Linked DNA regions of Tamandua tetradactyla. The protein of the gene in region 3 purifies or fractionates together with the protein of the main gene of each other region. This does not show direct contact. Links are inferred from orthologs where the notes say so. Each region holds a gene or a part of one and is shown on either strand. Other genes may lie near its edges.

Region 1 (6,921 bases), on a different chromosome or scaffold from region 3:
AACCTAACACAATCATTTCCTTTAAGTGTTCATTTTAAAATAATTACCTACTTAGAAAAAGAAAAGGCAGGGAAATTGAATTCATGATTAGGACACGCAACGATGAAATAAATTAGATAGAATTTGATACTAGTCTAAGCCTCAAACTACTTAAGAATTCAATACAGAACAGTGCCAGGAAAAAATATAGCTAAATTAGAAATGAAGAAAAAGAATATTCAAATTACGATTAAATTATTTTTAAAATGTTCCTGCTTCTGATGAACTGGTAGTCTTATCAATAACAAAATTTCTTCCTACCATCCCATCTATTGTAATTATTTCTACAATCAACTTATGTAAAGGGAGCTGAATTTTAAAGAAATGGTTCCTTAGAATATGAGTGATATATTTTGCAATCTTAAATTCACAGAACAAAAGTAAAAAACAAAATACTTTCCTGCATGATAACCATATAAGACCTGGCTTTTCATTTAGATTTAAACTCACATAAAAATATCTTCACCACCAAAATATGCAGTAACTATCAAGTAAGAGAAATTCAAATGAACCCATTTTTGTTAAAATACTTCAAAACATTTTTAATATAATCATGCACCATGCATTCAGCATCACACACAAATAATGCAAATAGATAATTACAATTAATGTAATATACTTTCTCTGGATAGACAAGCAAAGCATGAAATTCCATTTTAAAGTTCTGGGAAATTTAAAGAAATAAAATATCTTTATGACAACAATTTTGTTTTTCTTCAAATAGATGTACCTCGCTGCTTTACTAATACAACGTGTATGTCCTTTATATTACAGATATACGCAATATATTATCACAGCATATTTTATGGCATGTGGTAGTATATTAAACATTCAAAAGAAAAAAGTGCTAATTTGAAAGTTAGGGAGATTACCAATTGATCCTAGAGCATGACTGGATCTTTCTTATTCTTCAATATCAATTTAGATGTCCTCCCAACTTTCCCCATCTAAATTAACCCTGCCTCAATCACTATCACTTTTCCCTGCTGTTTCCCAATTTTCACAGCACTTACCACTATCTGAAATTATCTTGTTTATTTCCTTGGTTTTTGTCTGTCTTCCTCCACCAAAACGTAAGTTCCATAAGCACAGGTAACTTCTCAGTGTTGATCACCACTGAATCCCCATTAAATAGAACAGTATCTGCACACAGTAGGCACTTGATAAAAGTACTGAATAAAAGAATTACAGTAATTAGCTCAAACAACAATATAAACCAGGAAAAGAGTGAACTATATAGCAAAAGAGAAAGCAGTAAGGAAGAATGGAACTTAAAGAATGATGATTTATGGATGACCCTAGTCTCAAGAGAATCTGAAATTACATATTCAATATATGTAATATATTTCAATCTGTAAACTTGAAAGGCAATCCTTTAAAAGGTGTGCAGTCCACATTCCATATTGAGTAAGCGAGAGGGCCCTACGTTTCTCACACTACAATTACCACAGTTAGCAAGGCTTTATTCTAAGGGAGAAAGACTGAGAGCAACCCCAACCACAAATTTACAGCCCCATACTTTACTACTGGGCAATACTCGTCCACTTCAATGAACAATTTGTCAGCTACAGCATGTTCAAACATGCCTTGTCTTCTCCATTTATACCAAACAAGTACTACTGCCCCTTCTCCATGAGCCTTTTGGTAAACCCCATGCTATCTGCTCCTCACCAGTCCTCTGCCAGAAATGTCACTGAAGGGAATGGTAAAAGAAACAAGAGAACAGATCCTGTCTTATTTTCAGATCCTCTCTGGCTGTTAATCCATCAGTCCTCCACAAAATATAAACTTCTTATAGAGGCAGAACAGGGGTTGGTTTCTTATTCAGACATATACTAGCCGTGGGCTCTTGGCAAGCCACTTACCATATCTATGCCTCAGTTTCCTCATCTGTAAAATAGAGGTAGCATATCTGTCTCAAAGGGATTCTGTGCGAATTCAATGAGGAAATGCAATGGAGGGCAATTAGAATGCAGGTCACGCAGAAAGTCATCAGAAATAGAGGCTGTTTGTACTATGAAGATGATGATGATGATTTTTATCACTAGGGGAGTGCTTGGTTCCTGGTAAGATTCAAAATGTGATTTTTTTAAAGGGGGACATAGAAAGGAGGGCAACAGCTTCCTTCTCTGTTTCCAGACCCCTCCTCTTCAAATTGCCAAATTGGGGGGAGGGCGGAAGGGCACGGGCTGGGGCTACAACTAGACAAGAAAAGCTAACACCTAGCAACATCAGCACAATCAAGAGAATATGCTTGATTATCCTCACGTTTATGCCCCAAAGACTAGCAAAAGCAGGGTAAACGGCGCTCCTAGTGCCTCTGGTTGTGGTAACCGGCGTTGAGAAACGGCCAGTGCACACTGGGGACCCCTCCCTCTCCATCAGCGTGGGAAAAGAGAAACGGCCCCAAACAGCTGGGCAAGGTTTATTTTCAAAGGACCCCGTGCCCTCACCCCAGAGCCCCAATCCCACCTCTCCAAGCTCCTCGAATACGGCTCTATCCCGAGGGCCCACCAAAGCGGTGCCAGCATCCGAGCATCACCTCCGCGCCCGCTGCCGCCGGCCCCCGGGACTGCCGCCTCACCACACCCGGCTGCCTTTCCAGAAGCTCGAGGGTCCCGGAACCCAATATCTGACTTAGGGCTCAGTGCTTAGCTGCCCTCAGCAACGCAAGGCGCCAGTCCCACCTCCTCCGGTGGTCTGTCAGCCTAGATATGCTCAGGATAGAGCCCCTCCTCACGCACACACCTGGTTCCCCCACGGCCGGGTCAGCTTTTATGCCCTCGCCCCGGGCCTCGTCGGGAAGCAAAAGGCTCAATTGGTAGCGACAGAGCGCAGTTCGGTCCACCGCCGCCTTCTCCTCCTCTTCCCCGCCATATTACGGATCTCAGGCGGCAACGCGGGCTCCTGGCAACCGCCACGGTAGCCGCCGCCGCCGCCCCCCAGGCTCCACCTCCCAGGGCCGGCACTTCCGGTGATTGCATCTTGGGCCGTTGACGCTGTTTGGCATCCAGTAAAACTACAATCCCCGAGGTGCATTGCGCGGCTAGTGGTGCTCAGGCCCAATGACGAAGGACGACTTCCTTACGGCGAGCGCGGTGCACGCCGGAAGACGTAGTCTTCACTGTAAGCAGTTCCCTCCAAATTTTTATTACCGTCGGAACGCTCCTTAAAGACTGAAGTCCCTTGAATTATTCATTGAAGTTTTCATTTTTTGCTTATCTGTATAGACATTTTCTGTGTGGTCGTTGGAAAACATTGCATTCATCAAAATGATTTCTCCGTGTTTAAAATATTGCTGAATCAGCAGATGCCAGCTCAAAACCTTAAGACATTCTTACCCTTTTGCAAATAAGTTGGAAAAGACGTCCAAAGAAGAAAGGTAACAGGTACAAGATGGCAAAAAAGCCCCAGGTATTTTACCAAAGTTCTCTATCCAAACAACACTCCACCCAGCTTTTCAAAATATGATTTAGTGGCCTAAATCATTTCCTAACTCAGCTTTAACTTCTTCCTCTCTTTCTGACCCTACTTTCAGTGCTATTTTGCACGTGTAAAATGGAGATTTAAAAAATACTTATCACAGGGTAGTTGTGAGTAATGCAAAATGCCTGGCATATTAACCTCCACTCTTAGCCCCTAGTAAAAGGAGAAGTAAGATTAGGAGGAGCAGTAGCAGTAGAAAGGTCACAGGCCTAAAACTGGGGTAGCTTGATATCAGCCCTGACTCGGTCATTAACTGCACAAAGCATTTCACCTCTCCCGGCCTGGGTTTCTCATTTATAAAGTGAGGGATCTTTAAGCCCCCTTCCGATCTTGCCTCCTTTGTTATGTTCTTTTATTTCTTCAGAATCTGAAAAATCCTCCTAAAGTCGACTGAAATTCGTCTCCGAAGATAGTATTACCTACTGAAGTTCTTGTGAAAGTAAATGTGAAAACGCATAATAAAACATTTGAGTGCTCTAGAATTGCTAGCTGTACTTCCTGTCATTTGCCCTCACTAGAATGTAACTCCATGAAAGCTGGGATTCTGTCCATCCTCTTCGCTGCTGTGTCCCCAGCACCTGGACGGATGGTTGGCATATCTCGAATTGAATTGAGTAAATGGTCTCAGCGTCCTGCTGCTTCAAGGCCTCCTGGCCTCAGTTTCTTTGGGAACATAAAGGAGTCACTAAGATCCCTTTCAGTCCTACAACCGTACGACGGATCTTCTATCTCGCCCTTTCTCTCCTACCCAGCCTGGAATCCGTGTGGACGCCCAGACCCCAGAAGAGCCCAAGGCCACTTTGGAACTCGAACCTGGGCCCGCCTCCGTTGCCATGGCAGCGGCTCCGCCCCCTAGTGCTGGAGATCCCGAGCTCTGATTGGCTGGATAGCCGGTACCGCTCCGGATGGACCGGCAGCCGCCATTGTGCGGCGCGGGTCCCCTCAGAGGGTGCCACCTCTGGCGAACGCCTTGGGCTCTTCACTTCGACCTTCGCCCTCCCGTGCGGGGAGCCCGGCGGGTCCGGGACTCCCGTCCGTGCCGGTGCAGGCGCCGGCATGTGGCTGTGGGAGGAGCAGGGGGGCCTCCTGGGCCCCTTCTCCTTCCTGCTGCTGCTGGTGCTGGTGGTGACACGCAGCCCCTTCAATGCCTGCCTCCTCACCGGCAGCTTCTACATCCTGCTGCGCTTCTTCAGCTTTGAGCCGGTGTCCTCCCGCAGGGCCCTGCAGGTGCTCAAGCCCCGGGGTCGCATCTCCGCCATTGCCCACCGCGGCGGCAGCCACGACGCGCCCGAGAACACCCTGGCTGCCATTCGGCAGGTGAGCTGCCCCCACGCCTCGGGCCACACCGCCCCTTCCGGGGGCTCGGACCTCTGCTTCTCTTTTCGGAGGGTCCCCAGTCTCCTCAGGATAGTCTTCCTAGCACCCCCCTCCCGCTCCCATTCATCCACAGCAATGCGTTCCGATGACCCTTGATCTCCCCCAGGGTCTGGGAAAACTCCCGACCTCAGGTATTTATGGAATACTTCAGCATGTATTTATAGAACGTCTGCTAAGTGTCAGGCACTGGAGCTACCGCCATGAATGAGACAGGTAGGGTCTCTGCTTTTACGGAGCTTACATTGGAGTGGGGAAGACTGTCTTAAACAAGTGAACAAACAAGCCAGATACTAAGTGCTGCGAGAGGTGCAAGGAAGAAGTGGTGTAATGGCATTAAAAAAAAAACTGGTGGCAGGGGTTTGGGGGGAGGGGTAGTGGAGAGTGTAGGTTATGCCAATTAAAGTAGGGTAATCAGGGAAATCCTCAGCGAAGAAGTGACATTTGTACCGAAACGGGGATTAGGAAAAAAAAGCCAGCCATAGAATCTGGGGAAGACTTTCCAAGAAAAGGGGACACCAAGTGCGAAGATCCCGAGGTGAGAATGATCTTGGAGTTTTCAAGGAACAGAAGAGAAGTCAGTGTATGAATGAAATAGGAAATGTCATCAAGTCGCCTAGGGTCTAGGTCAGCAGTTGAATTTATTTTAAATGGATCACCCTTAACAGAAACTGGGGCTTTACTTGTGTTCTAAATGACCTTAGTCATCTCCTTATCACCCCACCCACCAGCCCAAACACACACACCCTGGCAGCCTGACTGGGCGGGGTTAATCAATTTCTACTTCCCCTTTTCACAAGGTATTTCTTATACTTTTGATCCCTCCCAACTCCTGGTGGTCTCCTGACTTCACATTTTGCAGCTTGCATAGTAAGAGAATTTTTCAGTTGACTAGGCCCTTTTGCATACATAGAAATATATCTGATCCTTTCATTTCTTTGAGACATTATTTTAACATTGAATGGATGAGAAAACTGAGACTCAAACGTGCACATCTCCTTCCAGAATTCACCTTTTCTAATTCCAAGCCCAGTGCTACTTGTCATCAATTAGAATATGGTCCAGGATGTAAATAAAAACTTGGACTGACTGTCCTTTCTTTGTGCAGCTGGAGGTAGGCTTGTGCAATGAGCAAGTTACTTAAGACTCCAAACAGGATTCTTACTAGGGTACAGGCATCAAGGTCCCTGGGGCATAAAACTGAAGAAGGCACTCACTCTGAGTTGTGCAAGTATGGATCAGTGTCTCACAATTGAGTGTCTCCTTGAATTATGCACCCAGGAACCTAAAGTTGTGGACCTGTAACCCATACCAAACTCTGAAAACAGATGTTCTAACTAATTGTTATAGTGTACTTTGAAATGTATTGCTTTTTTGTATATGTTATATTTCACAACAAAACTTGTAAGAAAAAAGAAAACTGCACCCAGAGTACCTCTCCTCACCCCGTCCTCCAGCCCTTACCTCAGTTTCCCTTTCTGTAAAATGAGAATATTTCCCATTTTACATTTACCCTCTAGGTTGTGAGGATTCAGTGAGATAATCCACGTCAAGTTCTTGGCCTGTGGTAAGACCTCCACAGACATAAGCTGTTTATGCCAGGTATTCAAAGGTGGCTAGATTCTTTAAAATTGCCTTAGCATAAAGGTAAAAAACAATTAAGTCTGAAGAGGAAAGGGTGTTAGGAAGGCAACCTTTGAGTCAGTGGAGGGCACCTGAGTTTAGGGTTTATAAACCAAGTTAAATTTCTATTATGAAGGAAGAGAGACAGTAAGAGTAGCTTCCCTAGCCTTCCATTTAAAAATAAATCCAAAGATACTGAAGAATGTGTTTTGCATTCTAAACTTAAGTTCAGAGAGATTGGATGATGCATAGCAGATAGTATTGTCATGAAAAGAAAGATGTTATTTACTATAGGAAAAAAGCAAATAATTGTCATTGGCTTCCATTTCAACTTACCTTTGTGTAAGTTGCCTTAAAGTACAGCACAGTGCTAACTGAGGACAGAAGGTACTGATGCAT
Region 2 (6,991 bases), on a different chromosome or scaffold from region 3:
TTCACTTTTAAAACAAGCTGCTGTTCTCTCAATCTTGTTTTTACTCCAACCTGCTACACAGTGGCTGTTTTAAAATCAGCTAAAATAACTTTTACCAAATTTCAATCTAAGTCTTAAATTTAAGGCATGAGGGAGGGCAAAAAAAACTGCACTTACAGAATCAGCTTATCCTTAAAAAGGCTGATGAAAAATAATGGCTATAACAATGATCTATTTCAAGTTGTCTTTTCTAAAACAGAAATTTCATACAAATTACATGAGAAAGCAATATGTATATAATTATGCTTTAATCTCATCAGAGTAAAATAAAGTTCAGAGATGTATCTGTTATATATTATACTCCATTGGCACCTTTACAACACTATTTAAACCAACTAATTATGAAAACAACATATATAACCAATGAAAACATAACGTCAATTTTTACCAACATTAAAGCATTATGTGTTCTTTGTTAACCTGTAACAAATGCCTCTCAATAGTAGCCAAAGAACTACTAGTATCATTTAACTTCAACCCAGCAGCAGCAGATTTAACCTTTCCTCTCAACAAATTTACATAATTCCACCTGGAAGATATATGGTATCTAAAAACAAGTATAGATAAAGATATGCATACAATAAAAAATATATATACACACATTTTCAAACATATTCAAAGAGATCTTTTTAAAATACAATTTTAGAAGCCATTACTTTTTTTTGAGAAACCGCTGTTCCTCTTTAAAGAAAGTTTTAAAAAGAAGAATTATAATGTGGACAGAAACATTTTAGCCTATCATTTAAAAAAATACAGTGTATTAAAGAAAAAAAAGAAGGCCACGTAGCAGCCGTGGGCAGGATGAGTCATCACCCAACTAAAAACTTGCAGCAATTCTAAGCTTCCTCCTACCCTACCCCATCCTTTCTGAAAGGTTACCTGAGTCAGCAAACCTTAATACTGTCAGTTTATGAATTCTCACGATAACTAAATTCATGTAGAATGCTGCAACACTTTTAATACTAGCACTTGTCTTTAGAACATACGCTTTTTCCATTGCAAAATTATTCTTCAAGTCAATCTTTCCTTTCTCAAGATTCTTTTTTTAATCACGGAAAGAAGCCAAAGACAACTTTCAATCCTCTTTTACCAGTAACTAAACTTCAAGTATCCTCATACATAAACTTTAATTTAAACAATTCTCCATTTTCCAGAACTTTTTTTCTAAATAGTAATGTCTAGGTGATAAAACATGTCCTGTTCAAATCTAGCATATTTCCTAGATGATTGCAGTTTCTGAATTTAGGGCACCAATAAGCAATTTTACAAATTTCACAAGGCAATTTTTATTAAATGATGTAACATATATATGTGAAAGGACTTTTCACTCCTTGGCGCAACAACAAGCACTCCAAAAACATGCTTGAACATCTACTCCTTAAAGATTTCTTAGAGTTTCGTCCACTCAATTCACAATTAGTTTTCAAACATTAAACTCTGACATTTATGAGAAGAAACTCTAAAGGCGGGTTCCCTTTCAGGGCTAGGCCCTGACAGGACCCTACATTCTTCTAGTCAGATCATTCTTACCACCTCCAGTTTCCCAACGTTGAATAATCCAGGTTGAAAAGAGAAGATATGTCCCATTAGAACTTTAGAAAACAAAAACAGGTTAGAAGAAACAGCAATCAGAAAATTACTCTGAAGCTGTTTGCCCTCCATTTTATCGCCTGTTATTTTTTTTTTCCTCCCTGACAAGTCATCCTGTACCCATAAAAGAATTAATACTAAAACTTTGACTGTGACTTAAGGGCACTATTAACACTTCAGGAAAGCACATGAACTCTGCTAATACGTGGTTTCTAATTCTTCCTCACCAGTTCCCTTCATTGAACCTTTCCCAATAAGCAAGCAAAACAAAACACAAAAGTAAAGGAAAAGATCCTGCTTCATAGACCTCCCACGTAACACCTGAACGAACTGGGTCTTACTAAGTAAGCCAAGGAACAAAAGGAGGCCACAACACCTTTACTTTTCAACGCAACTCACACAGCGGAAAGGAAAAAAAACTGCCAGCAAAATGAAGAGGCCCTTTTCCGTGAACCGACAAAACAAGTTTTCATTTGAGTGACTCCTACAGACCACCACTCAACGTCCCGGAAAGAAGCTAAGGAAAGGCCTCGGGTGGGGGTTGGAAATTCCGTTCTCAGACGAGTTTTCTGTACCTCATTAATGGCTAAATTCAAAACTTGGGCAGAGGACTTCAGGGCTCTGAGATGAGCCGGGTAAGCGGCGCGCGCGCTACGCAATTTGCCGAGTCCACCGGAGACTTTGCCCGGCAGGAGTCAGCTGAGGCCGAGTCACCCGGGTGGGAAGGGGGAGGAGACGCGGGAGCATTTCGAAAGGCGGCGTGCCAGGAAGGCGAGACTCCGTGCCACCTCACGCTCCCCCGGGCCGCCCCTCCCCGGCCGCCGCCCCTCGCCCGCCGGCCGGGCCAAGCTTCGAACCCTCAAAGCAGGGCGCGGGCGGCGGTTCCGCAGCCGGCTGTGGGGCGCCCCGGGACTGGCGGGCGCGGACCCGCCGGGCGGCCGGCGAGAGGCGTGCCGGGTGGGAGGGGCGCGCCGGCCTCTCTCCCGGCCCCACGCGGGGACCCCGGCCCGCCACCCGCCGCCCGCCTCCTGGCGCGGGGACGCCCCAGCCAGGCCCGAGCGGGCGGGCCGACGGGCGGGAGACGGAACAAAAGCGCCTTTGTTGAGCGGCTGCGGCCGGAGGGTCACACACAATGGAGGTGGGAGCCGGCTCCGCCGCGGCGCCCTCCCGAGTCGCCCAGCTAGCGCCCCTGGCACACGTACACACACACACTCACGAGACTTCTCCGACTCATCGAGAGAGTGCGGGGCCCGCGGACAGCCCCCAGGGTCGGCTCAGGTCTCCGGCTGTGCTGGCGGCAGCGACGTCTCCGAGGCTCCCGCTTTGCCGCAGTCGCCGCCATGTAACCCCGACCCGCTAGAGAGGGCGAGGGAGAGGGGGCGGGGCTTCTGGCGCCACGCCCCCTTCACGTCACAGGCTCACTCCACGGGTTCCCCCGCCTCCGCCCCCGCCCGGCCGCGCGCTCTTGCACGCGTCGGAATTTCCAACGCCCGTGACTGGGTTCGGCGAGTCGCTTGGATGGCCGGGGGAGGAACGTGGGCTCGTTGGCCGCCTCGGGTGGGCTGACCCTGCGGGCCGCCGGGAAAGCCCGGTGGCTTAGCCATCTGTGCTCTATTACCTGCCTTGGCACTGGAATATGAAGGGATCAAATTCCCTGCGAAAGTTTACTGAGCTCCTACTACGTGCCAGGTATTGGGCAATCCACGAGAAACAGGCCTTCGTCCTTGCCCATGGGAACGGGCCGGGAGCAGGAAGGCTAGAACTCAAGATAGATTGGCTGGAAGGCAGTAGGCCAAAGCAGTAAAAACCAGGTGCGAGGAAGGGCTCTAATTCTGCCTGAGGTCATGGAGGAAGGCTTCTTGGAGAGGTCGCCCTTGTGGGGGGGGGGGCGGGGGGATGCGGGGGGCAGCATTCGGCTGCAGCTAGAAGGAACCGATGAAAATCAGAGGTGGGGGGGTTCCTGCGGAGGGACCAGTGTGAGCAAAGACTGGGAGGCAGAGAGTTACTTGGCTTGTTGCAGAAACTGGGACTAGGCCAATGCAACTGAAGCATAGAATTTGGGAAGGGGTGTGCTGTAAGATGTAGTGGAAAAGGTAGATTGGTACTTTCTTGGCTGAAGAACAAACATTTTGCTTATGATGGCTTATTGAGTCCAGGATCATTTCCAATATTTATGTGAAATTTAAGGAGGTATTTATGAAATTAAATCAGAGAGGCAAGTCAGCATATTTTTTCGGTGATTTAATCACCATCTTGATGAGAACCAGACACGACAGCAAAGGATCTTCCAGGGTGAAGCAGAGACCACTTCAAGGATCACATGGTGGCTTGAAGTTAAATGATTGGAATGAGATGTTTGAAATCAGTACCATCTGAGTACCAGGTATGAAGAAGTAGTTGGAAAGTGGATAAAAACAAAAGAAAAGGGAGGCTCGTCTAAACTGCAAAACGTCCAACTTCTGGATGAGTTCCTCTGCCACAAGAGCTCCTTACCTGTGACCTCTGTTCATCATTGTTACTCCTGTGGTAGACTCCCCTGGAATTCCTAGCACAGCTTTTCCCCCACTCTACCTTTGTGCTCCCCTTTCCATCAGTTTGATCACCTAAGGCACACAAACACTGTGCCTTCTTTCATGGAGATTTTAATGTAGCATCAGCTCTGACTTCAGTAAAGACCAACAAAATAACCCTTAATAGAGAAAGTTCAAAGGAGAAGGTGGAGTTATAACAGAGAAGATAGGATTTAACAAGTGAGTATGACTGCTGAATCATTATATTGATATTTCTTTTAGTCTTCAGTGTCTTGGATCAGCTAAAAGAAAAAATCTAAAATTATGGAACTCTAAACCATACCAAATTCCAAAAGTTGTCCTATAACTAATTGTTGCAGTGTGGTTTGAAATTTATTGCGTTTTTTGTATATATGTGAAATATAAAAAAATTAAAAAGAGAAAAAATAAAATAAAAATGATCTTGGTGATGAATACAAAAAAAAAATAATAACCCTTAATAAAGCCAAGGAAAGTTTATTGCTCTTAAATATAGAAGAGACCTCAGTAAGGGAAAACACTACATTGATAGTCTTAGAAGGGTCTCAAAAAAGGGAGGTTAAGAATGGGCTATTTATAAGATTTGAGGGGTCTCCTTTATGGCAGGCTTTCCAATGAGAGGGCCTGATTGGTACTGGGCTAGCTTTGTGATATAATAGTTTAGGAGGGGTAGACACAGAAAGGGGAGAATTTTGAAGTAACTCTAGAAGAGTAGTTGTTTGATAAGACTAACAGAACAATCTTGTTCTGAGGTGGGGCTGTATAACCTGATGAAGGCTAGTTCACCCAGTAGTTAATTGCTCAGATAAATGGATTTTCAGGGAGTTCCTGAAACAACAAAGTTATTTCCAATTTCATCTTCCTGGGTGAGAATTTCTTGGAATTAAAGTCACACTTATGCAGATAGTCAAATTGTCAAGTCATGTTAATATATCCAGTCTTCATTCTTCTTAAACCTGTTGTGTGGCTATAAATGGTTGAAATTCTTAGTTTTTCCAACTGCAGAGTATGATCAATCAGTAGTGAAATCCTTTTAGTGGTTTCTGGCCTGCATTTTTAAAAATGAAATAGAGCAAACACAAAATAAGAGAGCATCACACATAATAAGGGTAAACATAATTTCATGATATTTTTGTTTCAGTTATGTGTCATGCTTCAACAGATCTAAAATGTCATCAATTATGAGACAATTATTTTATGTACTCTAAAGAAAGAGAAAATGCTATCAAAATGATACTTCATTGCTACATCCTGAATTCAGCAATATTAAAATGAAGGAGGTGCTTCTTAAAATTGATGATATATAAAGTATATGTAAAATGTGCCTATTGGATCACAATATGAAATGTATTTCTGTTTGCTGCTGTGAGTTTCCATAAGAGTTTGTAAGCCAGTGTTATAGTGGAGAACACAGGTAACTGCACCATAAGGTAGGATGAGATGAGTGCTCCTGAGCAGAGATACAAATTGCCTGCTCTTGTTGGAACCTGATAGAAGGAACAATTAATGAAGACTGGGACATCAAGAAAGGTTCAGCTAGAAAAGAGAGCTTTTCAGCTGGCTTAATTCTATCTGGTAGTATCAGAAAAAAAAAGGCATTCCCAGATAAGACAGTAGAATGTACAAGGGAATGAACTAGTAGGGCACACTTTGGGAAATGGCAGAAATCTGAAGAGACAGGTTCATGGTTTGTGTTCTGGGGGAAAGTAGACAAGTTAGCACCAGATTGAGAAGGCCTTGAACATGATAACAAAACTTTTGGATTTTATTTTAAAGGCAGTAGAAGAAGAATTTAGATGATAAAAGTGCTATTTTAGAAAGATAACTCTGGCAGTAATGAGGACAGTAGATTGTATGAGCAAGAGGTTGGAAACAATGAGAAGATAGAAGAATCCTTTGGGTTTTTTTCTGCCCTGCATCCAATCTCCCTTATTCTGGTGACAGTACTCTGATTTCCTTTAAGAGACTACCTTTCCCACTCACATGTAAATCAGAATTCTTACTGTTAAAATAAACAGAAAACTCCATCCAAATTGACTTATGCATAAGAGGCAGAGCAAAAGAATATTTTGAGATGGTTGCTGCAACTCTAGTTGGCATGGGAGAGGTAGACAATTTAAGAGAGATTTTTAGGACAGAAACAGCTGGTGTTGGTGAATGCTTCTCAGGAAGGGTTAAGTCTTAACCCCAGCTACTCCCACTTTACCTGTTTGAGTTTAAATTCCCTGTTTAAATTATTTAACTTTTTCCAATTTGATTACCAACTCCTATGAAGATAAACTGTCCAATATTACAGTGATTTTCAAAATTGTGGGGAAGATAGGTTTTTAATAGCATAGTCCACTAAGTTTGATGCCAATCCCAGGAAAGTTTCTAATAAAAATCATTGAACACAATGGATATGAGCTCTTGGGGAAAATGGAGCAGTTAATACAAGTCATCATGAATCCCTTCAAGTAAGTCATTATGAAGAAGTACCACTTCTTGATAGGATTATTTATCGCTAACCCGGGATGCTGGTGATTTCAGGAAGGCAAGACACCTTTGTGGATAAAATGGAGAGATGTAGGTTTAGATTATGGCAGAGGAAGGTCGATTCAAAAAGTGCTGCTTAAAGGAGGGTTGATAATATTGAGGGAAGTCTTAAAAGTAATTTTATCCTTTGTCTAATCCTGAGTTATATTTTTATCGGTGTCAAGTTAAGATTCCAAATTTAAGGAAGATGCAAAATTCAGAGAGACCGGAAGAAGATAGATGACAGAATTATTCAAAATCGTCTCTGCGGGTCGGAATGATTTTTTTTCAGATGAAAT
Region 3 (7,227 bases):
CGCCCATTTACCCAGAGGCGCAGCTCTCCAGCAGCTGTGCGCTCCACGCCCACATGGTCCCCTTCGCCAAGCTGGTCCAGGTCCTGACCATACTCCTCCAGCACAGAGCGTCCATCCCTCAGCACCGAGCAGCCTGACACTACCCATGAGCCCCCCTTCAGCCCTGTGGCACTGCTTGGGAAGTCCAGTACACTGGGATCCAGCGCTGTCACCCCAATCTCAATGGAGCCGCTCCAGGAGTTGACCTGTGAGATGAGTGGTGGACAGAGGCTCAGGATGGACCACCAGTGGGTTCCCCACCTCCAGGAAGTTACATTTCACAGGCCACAGCAGCTTCTCGCTGTGTTACTTGGTGCTCTCTCTCCCCAAGAGATTAAACCAGAGACTATAGACCTGCAGGTGATTTTCTAGACACTGTCTCAGTGGTTATTGGGGCTGGCTGTCTTCTAACAACACTGCATTGTCCTCGGGTCCTTGGTGTCTACCACACTGTCCCTTCACCTACCTTGCTGGCTAAATTTCCTGGCTCCAGCTCCTGTTTCTTCTAACTTCCCTGGTCTCTGAGGCCCCTCAACCACCCAAATTGTTCACATACCCCTTGATATCATATAGTACTCTATCCTCTGGCCCAATTCTCTCCAAGACTCTAGATCTACCCAGGTTCACGCTCCTCCCAAATTTATCTCTGTGAGCCTGGCCTTTTCACTAAATGACACACACACACCTCCCTCTTCCTGAGCATTTTACTCACGCAGCTTTCTGGCCTTGTCCCTGGGTTTGCCTTAATTGATTTTTTTCCCCTTTCTATCTCTCTTCTCTTGCCATCACACTCTGGCATCTCTCACCCTCCATTTCCAAGAAATTGGATCTGCTCTCCAGCTATTCTAACATCCCTTCCCTACTTCTGGATCTCTTTTCTCCTGCAGACTGCATGCTTCTGCTTCAAGGTCCTTTTCTATCATCTGGTGACAGACGGGCGATTCCCCCCCTCTACCCTGGGATGTGGACTCTTCTGGGCTGTCCTACCCCGTCTCCCTGTGGTCCCCTCCCACCACCCTCTGCATCTCGGTTCCGCGACAGCGGCTCCGCACCTTTCGGTCGATGCGGACAGTGAAGACGTGTCCATCGCGCAAAGGTTCCCGGCTCAACACGAGCCCGTGGTTAAACTCCTGGCCCGGCTGCTGCCGCCGCGCTGTACGCCCACAGGCCGAAAGGCTCACCAAGCGCCCGGTGCGCGGGTGCAGCTCCCCACCGCTGCCGAGACCCGCGCCGGACCCCGATCCCGGGCCGCTCTCGCTGGGCCCCCCGCCCCCGCCCCCGCTCGGCCCTGGACCTCCCCCAGAGCCCCCACTCCCACCGGACCCCGCCGCCATCGCCGCTGACACCGGGGCCGCGCGACAGCCGCGCTTGGCGGCACCGTGGCAACCGCGAGGGACAGGCACCCTGAGGAAATAGGAACGTGGGCGGGGACCAGAAATGCTTTACGGCACCCCCAGGCAATGAGGCTTCCCGGGCTAAGGACCTGACTACCACGATAGGAACAGAAGGACGTCGGGGTCGGGTTGTTTGCTTTACGGCACGGTGAGGTAACGGAGTGGCTCTTGAGACAGGCGAACACTTGGGCAGGGAGCTTTTGCGACAGTGGAAAGAGGAAACGACTGCCCCAGGCAACCTTACGACAGAGGGGTGCTGGCGCCTCAACGCTCGCAGTTTTGCGGCAGCGGCCCGGACGATCCCGCCCTCCATAGAAGGAAGGATGTATTCGCTTTACGGCAAGAGGAGGAGGTTTTTCCGTTTCGCTCTTCAAAGCGATTTGAGCCACGGTTGGATGGCCCGGCGAAGAGAACCGGCAGTTTTGTAAGTGAAAGTCGGCCCTCCGCACCACCGATACCGGAAATGTCTTGCGACAGTAGCGCCACACTTCTCGTGAGAGACAGAGGGAGCCGATTTTGGGGGAGAAAGGAAAAAAAAGCTGCGGAGGTTTCCATTCAAGCCCTGCTTGAGCCCCAATTTAACCAAACTCTTCGATTTTAAAGCTACGAATAAAGAGTCCAAAGAAACTATGGCAGTTTCGAGCAACGGCGTGAACAGTCCTAAAAGATCCCCCAGGCATGTTAAGTCCCAGCTCAACTCTCCCACGCTCGCGTTAATGATGGAGGGCTGTGACGTCACAATCCACGCTTCTCGGCCCACACCCCCACACCCCAGGACCCTGGTTATGATTGGCCGATTCAGAGGAGGGCCGTGATGGGAGAGAAGGGCGGGAACAAATCCTGGAGACAAAGAAAGAAGATCTTTGGGTGGGACCAAAAGGGAGGGGCGAGTAGGGGGACTTGTAGCCTGACGTCCTTATACCCGGTCTCCCGCCCACCGCAGCAGTGAGACAACCCTAGCCGCTGCCCAACCGCCCCCGCCCCACCCCGTTATGGGGCGGGGCCTCGGGGGCGGGGCCATGTGGGGGAGGGAGGCAAGGCGGGGCCGGGTGGATAACAGTGGCCCCCGGAGGTGGGGCCATGCCGAAGGAGACTCTGGGGGCCGCTGGCGGCCTCAAAGGGGAATCTCCCGGAGGAACAACCCAGGAGGTTCCCGGAGGAATCAGAAGGGCCGAGGCAGGCGCCGGGCTGTCCTCGGGAACAGTCCTGTTTCACGGCTCTGCGCCTTCCCAGCACTCCGGGAGTGTCGTAACTCATAGTCCTGGTACCAGCCAGCCCTCTGGGGGAGTCGCGGTCCTCGGCTCGGGACCCAGCCAGCCCCCTGGAGAGGTTGCGGGTCATGGCCCTGGGTCTGTCATATACCCTGCCGTAATCAACACCCACTGCCCTGGAACCAGCTTAACCCGGGCGTCTAGCCCCTGGTCCGGGGGGTCTGAAGAGTACATAGAGGGGTGTAGTCCGCACTCCGGGCCAATTTGCTCTCCCTCCCGCAACACAATAACACGTGAAGACCGGCCCCGGAGCATCCTCAAAAACAACAGCTGTGTCTTGATGCAGAAATGCCCCAATGTGGAAAAGTAAGGGGCCCAGCCCTGCGGGAGAGCGGCCGAGAGCTCCGGGGGAGGAGTTCGGGACTCCGGAGAGGGCGGGGCCTGGGGAATGGGAGGAGTCCCGAGAGGAAGAGACATTGGGAGGGAAATTTGAGGTTGGGGCCTTGGGGAAACCCGCAGGGGCCCGATTAACCGTGGATACACAGTACCCAAGTAATCACTACGTCTGACTCCACTCCCAGCCGCTTATATTTCTGTCCATACCGCCCCTGGACCTACAAGGGGGCGCAAAAAAGCTTTCTGAAAGAATGAGGAAGGGCTGTAGGAGAGGATCATTAGAATGTTTCCTCCTCGAACTGCCCCCCCCCGCCCCCCAGGAAAAAGGCCCAGCGCTGGGATGAGATGAATATCTTGGCCACTTACCACCCTGCTGGCAAAGACTACGGACTTATGAAGGTGGACGAGCCCAGCACTCCCTACCACAGGTGCTGAGCCCTCAACTCTACCCCTTCCACCCAGACTCTCCTCACTATGCCAGGGGGTTGGGAAGGGAGGAGAAGGCCAAGAAGCCTCAAGTACTGGTTGCTACTTGGACTCCCCCTCCCTGCATAGCTCCCCTGTCCACAGGCTGCAGGACAGCAACGAGGACCTGGCCACAGGCTCCTCCTACGCAGTGACTCCCCAGGCACTGGCAGAGAGGTGAGAGTCCTGTCAGAGATCATGTGAGGCAGGGGGACCTCCACCCCTTGACTCTGGGGTCTGAGCCAGCTCTACTCTTTGGACCCCAACATGGGTATTGCTACAGTTCTCATCAGGACTGGCCAAGATCCACCTAGGTTGAGGGGCAGCTGGCTCAGCCCCCTCCCCACCTACCCTCTTGTTACTCACTTCCCTTCAGTACCCCCAACTAGTCTTTCTCTTCAGGTTTGCAACAGTGGACAATTTCCACCCCAAGGTCCTCCAGAACCGTGAGAACAGATATTCAGGGTCTCTAGACAACTTTACCAAGACACGTGAGATGAGGGGTGGGGATTAAATGAGAAGGGGAGGCGGAGTCAACCTACCAGAGAACCTGGGAGGGAAAAGCCAAGCTCTCACACTGGCCCACAGACTCCAGTGATTTTGACCAGCACCGCAAGGCACACTATGATGAAGGGAATTTCCTCAGGACTCAGAAAACCTTGCCGTTGGGTAATGACGATCGCTACCACGGGGGTAGTGTCACTGCCAGCAATGGAGGTCGAGGTGTGATGCCAGACCCCGAACCCAAGCCTGTGGAGAGAGGCAGTAAAAGAGGATCAGCCAGAGGAGGCAAAGATGAGACTGGCCTAGAGGCCAGGAGTCACGTTCTAGAAGCCAAAGGTTAGCGATGGGGACTCCAGCGACTCAAGGGGGTTGTAGTGCAGAACCAGTTGTTCTCTTCCCCCACCAGAGTTCCTTTTCCCCTGTGGGCATCAGCCCAGGCCCCTGCTGCTTGAGGTGAAGGTGATGCTGAGAGGTGACCTCAGGGCAGAAAGAGGACAGCTAGGGTAGGATCCCCGCTCAGGAGAGCCTCAGGGAAGTCTGACTGGTGGGGAAGAACACAGAGCCCCAGGGAACCGTAGGGGGTGGGAAGTCCCAGAAGGTTTTCTAAAATGAGAGAGGTATGAAAAGTGAGATGAGAACCTGCGAGGTGGCCCACAGGGGAGACCTGAGGGCATGCAGGGGCCAGATGGCCATGCATTAGATTTGGCTTAGATAAATTTGCAGATGCCCATGCCGACAAAAGTCAGCCCCCAGCCTCGATCCCCACCAAGTTGGAGAAGGAGATTGATCAGCAGCGCAAGGAGTACTACATCATGGGAAGATACCTTCGCTCCTGCCCCAACCCGGAGCTTGAGGAGGACACAGACAATGAACAGCAGGACTGTAAGAGCTGGGCCAAGTCAAGAGGGGTAGGGAGATGAGGGCCAACAGCCTGAGGAATGCTCCAACCCTGATCTCATGATGCTTTCAGGCTGCTCTGCAAATTTGCCCTTGGTGATTGAGGATCCCATAAGCACTGAGGTCCGCCTGCTGGACCACATGGAAAGCCCCTTTCAGGAGCACAAGGCTGCAAACTCCCTGATGGGGACAGGGACACCATCACAGCCCGGTAAGGGCACCAGGATACCATCTTTCTGGGCCTGGCTCCTGGCAAGCTCCTGTCCTCACCCCCACATTCTTCACCCCCAGGGCTCTCCTTTCAGGCCAGTAGATCAGGGCAACAGGTGCTAAGAGGCCCGGGACCCAAGGCCCTCACTATACAGGAGAGGAAACAGAAAGGCTCAGAAGGGCTGGGACCCCCTCCCATCCCCTGGTACCATCCCCTGGACCCATGCCTCCTCCTTGATTCCTCTCTACCACCCCACCCCACTGCAGGTACTCCCCTCCCCAGTGGGTCCCAAGTGGTGTCCGGATGGTGTCAATGGCTAGTAACCAAGAAGCTGAACTGGCAAAACCCAGCGGGCTCAGAGAAGGAATCTGTAAACAACCAAAGCCACCCACCCCAGAGCAAGTGCAGATGTGAGCTTCGGCAGGGGCATGGGTGCTTGCACTGGCCAAGAAGGTAAAGAGGCAGGTGGAGTTGGTTTGGGGGAGTCTGGGGTGGGGGGTCACATGGGCAAGCTCTCAGGCCTGCTGCAGGAAACCAGTAACCCAACCCCTTCTCCTCCAGATGAAACCCTGCAGCTTCGATGGAGCTAGAAGGAGGAAACCAGACAATGGGAAACATAACCAGCCAGGGGAGGGGTATGGGCAACCTTCCCCTGCCCTTCCCACCCTAGGGGTGGGCAATAAAGATAGAAGAGCAGAGGCCTGGGTGTCGTGTGTTGAGTGCCAGCCTGGGCCTGGTATGTCATCGAGGAGAAGGGAAGAGGGAAGGAAATTCACACACAGGAAACTACAGGCAGGCAGAACAGAGTGAAGAAAGCTTGGAGCAGCCCGGGGCGCTAGGTTCAACCAGAACCTAGGAGCCCGAGAAGGCCCACGCGGCGGCAGAATGGCAATGAGGGCCACGCACGATTCATTGAGCTGGTCCTAACTGTCCCAGTGCCATGATCTTTAATTCTTACCACAACCCTGGAGGTAGGGTTATCATCCCCCTTTCCAGGTATGGAAACTGAGGAATTAGAGAGCTTTCCCAGGGTCACACGCCTCTACCTGACAGAGCTGGGAATTGAACCAAGGTCTGCCAGGCTCTGAAAACTCAACCACGAAAGGGAAAAGAAGTAGAGAGTCTGGGTAGGAAGGTGACAGCAAATAGTCTCTGAGGGCGGTGCTGTGGCTTCTCTTATCACAGCCCCCCCTCCTCTCCCCAGGCCCCGCCCCACCCCTCCCACTTCGGGCCTGGAAGTGTGGGGTGAGCGCTCCTCCTACGACACCCCTTCCCTTTGGGGAAAGGATTGAGCCCCCTCCAGGCTCTATCTGGGAGAGAACCCTCTCCTCCTTCACCATCATCTCCCCTCCTGGGGCCGGAAGGGCCTCCACTCGCATCCTCACCTGCCTCGCCTCCAAGGCCTGCTGGCCCCGCAGCAGCCAGAGATGACAGTCAAGCTGGATTTCGAGGAGTGTCTCAAGGACTCGCCCCGGTTCCGGTAAGTTTGTGCAGGTCTAGCAGAAGCGGGTGGGCAAGGTCCAAGTTCCCTCCATCCTCCACACAAAAACAACCTTCCCCAGGCCAGGTCTCCTTCCAAGGAGTAGGCCTCAAAGGGACAGGAGCGAGTTTGCAGACCAGCATGGTACCTCCGCTATCAAGCCCGGCACCCTGATACTCTCTGCCCCTGGCCTCTCCAGCCTCATCTCGCTCCCAGAGCTCACGTTGCCTCCTCACTGGTGCTGGGACCCCTGCCCCTCCCCCAGCACCTGCTCTAGGGCGGTTAGCAACTTCCTGCCCTGGCCGCATCCACCCTCCTTCTACCCTTCCTGCTCCGGCCTGGGCTATATCTGACTGTGTGCAGAGTGAGCCAGCAAGAGGCAGTGGGTGAGCAGGCCTCCTCAAGCCAGTGGCTTTCTCTGTCAACACCCACCACCCCCCAACCCCGGCTCCTGCCCCTGCGGAGGTTGATGGATCCAAGCACGGCTCCTGTGACACTATCTCCCCTTTCCCAGAGCCTCCATCGAGCTAGTGGAAGCTGAAGTGTCAGAATTGGAGACGCGCCTGGAAAAGGTGATCTTGAAGTGGAGAGGTCACCCAGGAGAGAGGGAAAAGGGTGGGATTAGGATGA
Region 4 (6,338 bases), on a different chromosome or scaffold from region 3:
TAGTGGAAGACTGACAGATCGCCTAGTCAGTTAAGTTTAAGGCACTTGCAGTGGTTTGGGAGAGTTGGACCTAGGTGTATTCATGGTAAGATGTCCCCAGGGGTGGTTCTGAAAACAATGGCCATTAATGTCCCTCCTTTTCCATCTCCCAGAGTCTGGAGTGTTCCTTACCCAGCTACTGAGGTTGTTCTCTCCCCTGCCACAAAATCCATATGTCCCATTCCGGAGCTATAAATTCACCTGTTTCTCAATCATCCCAGACTTTGCATCCAGAAGGTCCAGGTGCAACAAGGATAAGGGCGTTTATAAAACTTAGAGAGACCCACGTCCCTCACTCTACATATGGGCCACTGTTGGGGAACGCAGAGAGAGGGGTACTCAACCAGGTGGCCCACTTATCCTCCCGATCTAGGACCATGTCAGTCCAAAAAGAGAATCCAGGTGATTGGACCACAGTTAAGTTTGAATTTCCAAGGATGGGGCTCCCATGTGCAGGGCTTACCACCCAGGCTGGCCAGGGGCTGCTGTTAGGGTAAAGAAAGCATCCTGCCCAGGAATGGTCAATGCTGATCTGTCTAAACTCTCATCCCTCTCATCCTGATGGTTTCCCGTAACATGACCAAGAAGAGATGATCCCTTCCCTGGGACAGCCACATTCAGTGATCAAACTGCCTCACTGAGGTGTGTGGACCAGGAGAAGATGAGAGAGGGGAAGCCAGAAATGTTTCTGAGTAGATTTTGCAGAGGCCGTTTCAAGGCTTAACAAGACCATATATCTGAGGCAGGGAAGGGAAGGCTCTTGAGATAAAAGGTGCACCATTGTTAGACTTGAAATGGTCCAGAAACCTAAAAACATGCCAGTGTAGTTGTAAGAACCACAAGGAGGTGGCCTGAGTTGCTTGATTGTGCTGCAACAGCAACACTTTAACCTGGAAAACAGACAACAGTGGTGAGACACTGTCTAGAGCCCCAGGAGGCAGGTAAAGGTCCCATAAAGCCAACCTGTCAGGAGTAGAAAGTGGCAATGTTGTTTACCCTCCATCACTGCAAGAGAAACAGACCAACCTGTGGCAGGAATCACTGCCTGGCATGCAGTAGTAGCCTTTGCCTTAAAAATCTGGAGAGATGATGAGACAGGCAGATATGGTGAGGCTGTGAGTGGTGCCGACTCCATCGACAGCTTGAATTCAGCCGGGCTTATCAGTAAATTGGCTCTCGCTGTGGCCGTTTGCCTGAGTGAGCCAGATATGTTTCCACTGTTAGCTGAAAACATCACCATCCAAACTCCTCTGTCAGGTGACAAGGCCATTATCAGTGAAATCATGGATTTCACCTTTGGGAACTCTGATTCAGCCACAGGGCTTTCCAGCTGAAGCCACAAGGTTTGTGTCCTTTGGCTGACCCAGGCTTGAACTAGTCAGTCTAGTTAAAGATTTGTCCATTTTGTTGATTTCTTCAAAGAACTAACTCTTGGTTTAGTTTTCTCTATTGCTTTTCTATTTCATTTATTTCCACTCTGATTTCTATTATTTCTTTTCTTCTGCTTGGTTGAGGCTTGGTGTGCTCTTCTTTTTCTAGTTTCTTAAGGTGGAAGGTTAGGTTATTGGGTTGAGATCTTTTATTATTTTTTAAATACAGGCACTTATGGGTATAAATTTCCCTCTAAGCACTTCGTTGGCCGTATCCCTTAAGTTTTAGTATGTTGTACTTTCATTTTTATTCACCTGAAGGTATTGTCTAATTTCTCTTATGATTTATTCCTTGACCCACTGGTTAGTAAGGCGTGTGTTATTTAATTTCCATGTATCTGTGCGTTTCCCAAATCTCTTCCTGTTACTGATTTCTAATTTCATTCCACTGTGCTCAGAGAGCATATTTTGTAAAATTTCTATCCTTTTTAATGTGTTTAGGTTTGGTTAATGGCCTAGCACATGGTCTATTCTGGAGAATGTTTCCTGTGCACTTGAGAGGAACGTATATTCAGCTGTTTAATACTTTAAGGTCCCTTGCGATTTACATTGGGCCACCTGGAAAATCTCCCTATTTTAAGGTCAGCCGATTAGCAACCTGAATTCCTCCTTTGTCATGAAACATAGTCACAGGTTCCAGGAATTAGGATCTTTTGGGATCATTCTCTTGCCTACCACAATAGGCCTGAATCACGAGCACCTTCTTTTTTAGGCATCATATTTGCTAAAATTAACTAATAAACAACAAAAACAAACAAAAACCACAGAACCATTTTTTTGGGGGAAATAATGGCAAAAGAATTATTCCCTTAAAGTTACGGTTTGTGAAGACGCTGAACTGTTTTAATTCTCAATACTGAGACATAAAATTAGGACAAAACATAATTCAAATACTTTTGAAAATGAAATCTGATCAACTGTCGCATAAGTTCTACCATCGATTTATGGCAGTTTTTCTATAAAAAGATAACATCCTCATAGAACAACTGTATTTCATAGTGTAAATGTAACAAGCAGAAAGAACATGAATGACAGTTTTCTCCTATGGTTGGTCACAAACAAATCATGGCCAATTAACAAGTGGTTCTTGGTATATTTCAGTGGGTTAAACAGCAGATATTTTCCCCCAAAGTCTTTGGATCTCTGTTGGTTAAACTTAAAGCTTCTAGTTTATTATGAGGGAAAATATGCAACCACAGACAAAAGTCAGAGGGAGGCCTTACTCATAATGAAAACTTCAGACATTACATCACAAAAATAAATATGTTGAACTGTATGGCATTACCAATATCTGACTGGTTTTAACCTACAAACACAGCAACTTCATGCTGTTCAACCTAATAATACAGCAAGGAGAACTCCCTGTAATCCTTATGTCTCAGAAGGGACCACTGATCTTTGGTGTGTATTCCTCCAGGCTGGGGAATATATGCACATTTATGGGTCATAGAATTATCACCACAAAATTGTACCATAGGTAATCTTTTTTTTCCTTAATTTTTTTTTTTTTGGGTGGGGTGTATGGTCCAGGAATCGAACCTGAGCCTCCCACATGGGAGGTGAGCATTCTACCACCGAACCACCCGTGCACCCACCTAAACCACCTGTGCACCCCCCATAGATAATCTTTTGCAACCTGCTTTCTAAACGCTTTGAAGAGCAGAGCTGTGAATTCAGGTTCAGACCTGAATTCAAAATCTAGCACAGGCTTGGATCAGCTGCTGCCCCTCTCTGGAGCCTCAGTTTCCTCACCTGTAAAATGATACTAATGATCTTGTGCCAATTATTAATTTATTGTCTCTCAGCTCCAAATTTATTCTCTTTCTCTGCTCTGTGCATTCGGACCTGGGCCCTTTAGTTTTCTTTTGCTGTTGACACAATGTTAAGTGTTGTCAGAAGAGGGCGCTGGAGAGGCAAGGCTGGAGGAGAGTTTTTGCTTCCTGGTTAAGGTGCATTTCTGGGCAGCCTCTGCAGGAGGGTGCAGCTGCCCCAGCACCCACTGCCCCAGCACCCAGCTCCCTCAGGGCATTCTCCACACAATTCTTGACAAGGGATAGCACATAGAAAGTTCTCAGAAGTCTTGATGGTAAAGCCATTGCAGGAGTCATGGTGTGCAGATCAGCTGACTGGGGAGCAGAGGTTTGGACTTTTTCAGCCTCCGACAGCCACGACGTAATTGTCACACCCTCATCTGAGCCTGACCATCGTCGTTGGTGCTCTAGAGCCAAGGGCAGATATACTTAAAGCCCATTATAAAATATTTGGGTTCCTTAAGCACAGGGTTCCTCTCTTGTAACATAACCCATGGTTATGGGTCCATCTAGTTCCACCAGCACTGCCTTCTTAAGACTCCAGGGTAAAGGGAACTGACGCAAATATGGTCCTGTTCATGCTGCTTGCTATGAGTGAGTAATAAAGTTCCTTGTCTCTGACCCAGGAGACTCGAAGCTCGTGCCAGCATCCATTAAACTGCAGGCTAACTTGTTAGCCGGCAAGTAGGATAAAATCTCAGACCTTTCACCCTCCTTGACAGTTCAGGCAATGAGGAAGGGATGCTGACAATTCTGTAGGCGGAAGGATGAGGCTCTTAAACGGCCTGATTAACACTATTTGCGGGAATTTCAAGTGAATTGACAGCACACATATTGACCAAAACGTATGGTCAACCAAGCAATAGGCGGCCTCCTTCCCCAGCGCCCCGATGGAGAAGTGAGAAGCACGGAGGCCCGACAGGCTCCACGCGCGCGCAGGGGCGGTTCGTGGCTATGACTGTCGTTTGTCGTTGCGATGACGTCGCTGCTCGCCCCGCCTATCCGGAAAGGAAAAACCCCAGGGGAGGCGGATTTCTCACGCCAAGGGTGTTTCCTACCACTTCCGCTCCTCCGCTGGCCTCGACCGTCGAAAAGTCGCCGCCCACTGGGCTGCAGCTGCCGGGCGCTCCTCCAAGGCACGGTCAAGTCTGCGACCAGAAACGCCCCACTCAGGGCAGCGCGCGACCTGAGGCGCCCTCGGCTGCCCCATTTCCGCCCTCAGCCCCACATGGAGGCGCCCGAGCCGCGGCGGAGGGCGCAGGGCTTGTGCGTCACTTCCGGTGAGCTCGGCGGCGACAACGGCAACATGGCCCTAAACGGCGCTGGTGAGGACTTAGGCTGCGGGGGCCTGTGGCTGCGGGGTACTGGAGTCAGCCCGTTCCGGCAAGAGCCCCCGGCCCCTTATGCCTCTCTTCCTCCAGAAGTCGACGACTTCTCCTGGGAGCCCCCGACGGAGGCGGAGACAAAGGTGTTGCAGGCGCGACGGGAGCGACAGGATCGCATCTCCCGGCTCATGGGCGACTACCTGCTGCGCGGTTACCGCATGCTGGGCGAGACGTGCGCGGACTGCGGGGTGAGGCGAGAACCTGGCCGCTGGGCCCTTCCCCAGCTCTTCCTTCTGCACCCTATCGCCCAGCGCCTCACTCCTGCCCCGTGTGCTTTCTGACCCCTAGACGATCCTCCTCCAAGACAAACAGCGGAAAATCTACTGTGTGGCTTGTCAGGAGCTCGATTCAGACGTGGATAAAGATAATCCGGGTGAGGGCCCGAGTGTGCTTGGTAGGAAAGAATCGTGGCGATGGAGGCCTGGGGACAGTAGGTCTGAGAGGTGACAGTGGAGTCTGGGAGTGGGCAGAGGTAAGGTGCTTTCTCCTTTAGCTCTAAAGAGGACTATTCATTCAGTAAGAACACTTAGCACCTCCTGTATGCGAGACGCAGTGGGAGAGTCTGAACTTTATCAGGCAAAGTCCTGATGGGAGAGATAAAGCAAGGACATAAATAATTGTGACACAAAATAGAGACTGGATGAATTGCTTTGTAGAGGAGTACAGAAAATACTTAAAGAACAGAAAGAGCAGAGCAGTCAAGAGAGAAGGTGGCTCTGGGCTATGGTGGGCCAGGACTTCTGACCATTCCACCTGCTTTTTCCTCATTTAGCTCTGAATGCCCAGGCAGCCCTCTCCCAAGCTCGGGAGCACCAGCTGGCTTCTGCCTTGGAGCTCCCCTCAGGCTGTCGACCTGCTACTCAGCCTCCGGTACCCCGGCCAGAGCACTGTGAGGGAGCTGCAGCAGGGCTCAAGGCAGCCCAGGTGCCACCCCCAGCGGCAGTGCCTCCAGATGCAGATGTCTTGGCCTGCACACAGGGGGCTCTTCTGCAGAAGCTGACCTGGGCCTCAGCTGAGCTGGGTTCTAGCGCCTCCCTGGAAACGAGCATCCAGCTCTGTGGTCTGATCCGGGCTTGTGCTGAGGCCTTGCACAGCTTGCAGCAGCTGCAGCACTGAGACACCCCTGAGAAAAACCCTCTAGAAAAACACCTGTTCATGTGTGTGGTTCTTTTCTTGGTTTTCAGTGTGTGTCCCAGCCCCAGCTCCACTTGTCTTTTTCCTCCTTTTGGCCTCCCACCCTTCCCCCATCTGCTTTCCTTGATGTCTCTGAGAGATGGGTTGTGAGCTTGTTTCTGCTCAGATTCCCCAGTCAGAAGGTGAAGGGGGAGAGAATGGACAAAATGAGAACCCTTTTTCTGGGGTGTGGGCCACAGCTTCCTCAAAGGCAAGAGGAAGATGGGTGGGCCACCAGCCTGGACCTGGCAGCACCCCATCCTCCACTGCTCATTACCTGCCTGTGAGTGAGATCTCGATCCCCTTTGCATCCTGAGCCCATATCCTCTCCCACCTCATGCCAGCCCCATAGAGTCATACCCTGCAGGAGGTTGTGGTGACCCTGACATCAAGTTGCACGATCGAGCCATCTCCTGACTCCCACTTTTGGTCCTTCTCACCTAATGATGCGTGTGTAGCAGTGTACCAGGTTATGTCCTTGGGAGAATAACTGGACAGAA

What was found.
Region 1: the proteins of NEURL4 (region 3) and CCP110 purify together in Homo sapiens (affinity purification with western blotting; 4 studies listed by BioGRID and IntAct, with this or other methods). This does not show direct contact. The link is inferred for Tamandua tetradactyla from reciprocal best matches to the Homo sapiens genes NEURL4 and CCP110.
Region 2: the proteins of NEURL4 (region 3) and MAPK6 purify together in Homo sapiens (affinity purification with mass spectrometry; 6 studies listed by BioGRID and IntAct, counting the BioPlex papers as one, with this or other methods). This does not show direct contact. The link is inferred for Tamandua tetradactyla from reciprocal best matches to the Homo sapiens genes NEURL4 and MAPK6.
Region 4: the proteins of NEURL4 (region 3) and ZNRD2 purify together in Homo sapiens (co-immunoprecipitation; 4 studies listed by BioGRID and IntAct, with this or other methods). This does not show direct contact. The link is inferred for Tamandua tetradactyla from reciprocal best matches to the Homo sapiens genes NEURL4 and ZNRD2.

The regions. Positions count from the first base shown.
Region 1 is NC_135349.1:40,987,779-40,994,699, reverse strand, and holds the start of CCP110 (centriolar coiled-coil protein of 110 kDa), read right to left. Parts: upstream 3,023-6,921; 5' UTR 2,788-3,022; intron 2,103-2,787; exon of another isoform or gene 1,968-2,102; 5' UTR 1,905-1,967; intron 1,212-1,904; 5' UTR 1,053-1,211; intron 1-1,052. Other genes in the region: GDE1 (glycerophosphodiester phosphodiesterase 1), read left to right, coding at 4,582-4,842.
Region 2 is NC_135340.1:66,877,316-66,884,306, reverse strand, and holds the start of MAPK6 (mitogen-activated protein kinase 6), read right to left. Parts: upstream 3,025-6,991; 5' UTR 2,840-3,024; exon of another isoform or gene 2,790-2,839; intron 2,488-2,789; exon of another isoform or gene 2,205-2,487; intron 230-2,204; exon of another isoform or gene 157-229; intron 1-156. UniProt on the Homo sapiens protein: Atypical MAPK protein. Phosphorylates microtubule-associated protein 2 (MAP2) and MAPKAPK5.
Region 3 is NC_135332.1:61,192,845-61,200,071, forward strand, and holds the start of NEURL4 (neuralized-like protein 4), read right to left. Parts: upstream 3,020-7,227; 5' UTR 3,011-3,019; coding exon of another isoform or gene 2,514-3,010; 5' UTR 1,374-2,513; coding exon 1,092-1,373; intron 246-1,091; coding exon 1-245. Other genes in the region: uncharacterized protein LOC143688138, read left to right, coding at 2,514-3,010, 3,361-3,468, 3,596-3,682, 3,908-3,996, 4,094-4,345, 4,733-4,891, 4,980-5,117, 5,384-5,570 and 1 more; ACAP1 (arf-GAP with coiled-coil, ANK repeat and PH domain-containing protein 1), read left to right, coding at 6,545-6,597, 7,112-7,169. UniProt on the Homo sapiens protein: Promotes CCP110 ubiquitination and proteasome-dependent degradation. By counteracting accumulation of CP110, maintains normal centriolar homeostasis and preventing formation of ectopic microtubular organizing centers.
Region 4 is NC_135335.1:8,949,428-8,955,765, reverse strand, and holds ZNRD2 (protein ZNRD2), read left to right. Parts: upstream 1-4,265; 5' UTR 4,266-4,508; coding exon 4,509-4,605; intron 4,606-4,701; coding exon 4,702-4,853; intron 4,854-4,953; coding exon 4,954-5,038; intron 5,039-5,437; coding exon 5,438-5,781; 3' UTR 5,782-5,813; downstream 5,814-6,338. UniProt on the Homo sapiens protein: Might play a role in mitosis. Antigenic molecule. Could be a centromere-associated protein. May induce anti-centromere antibodies.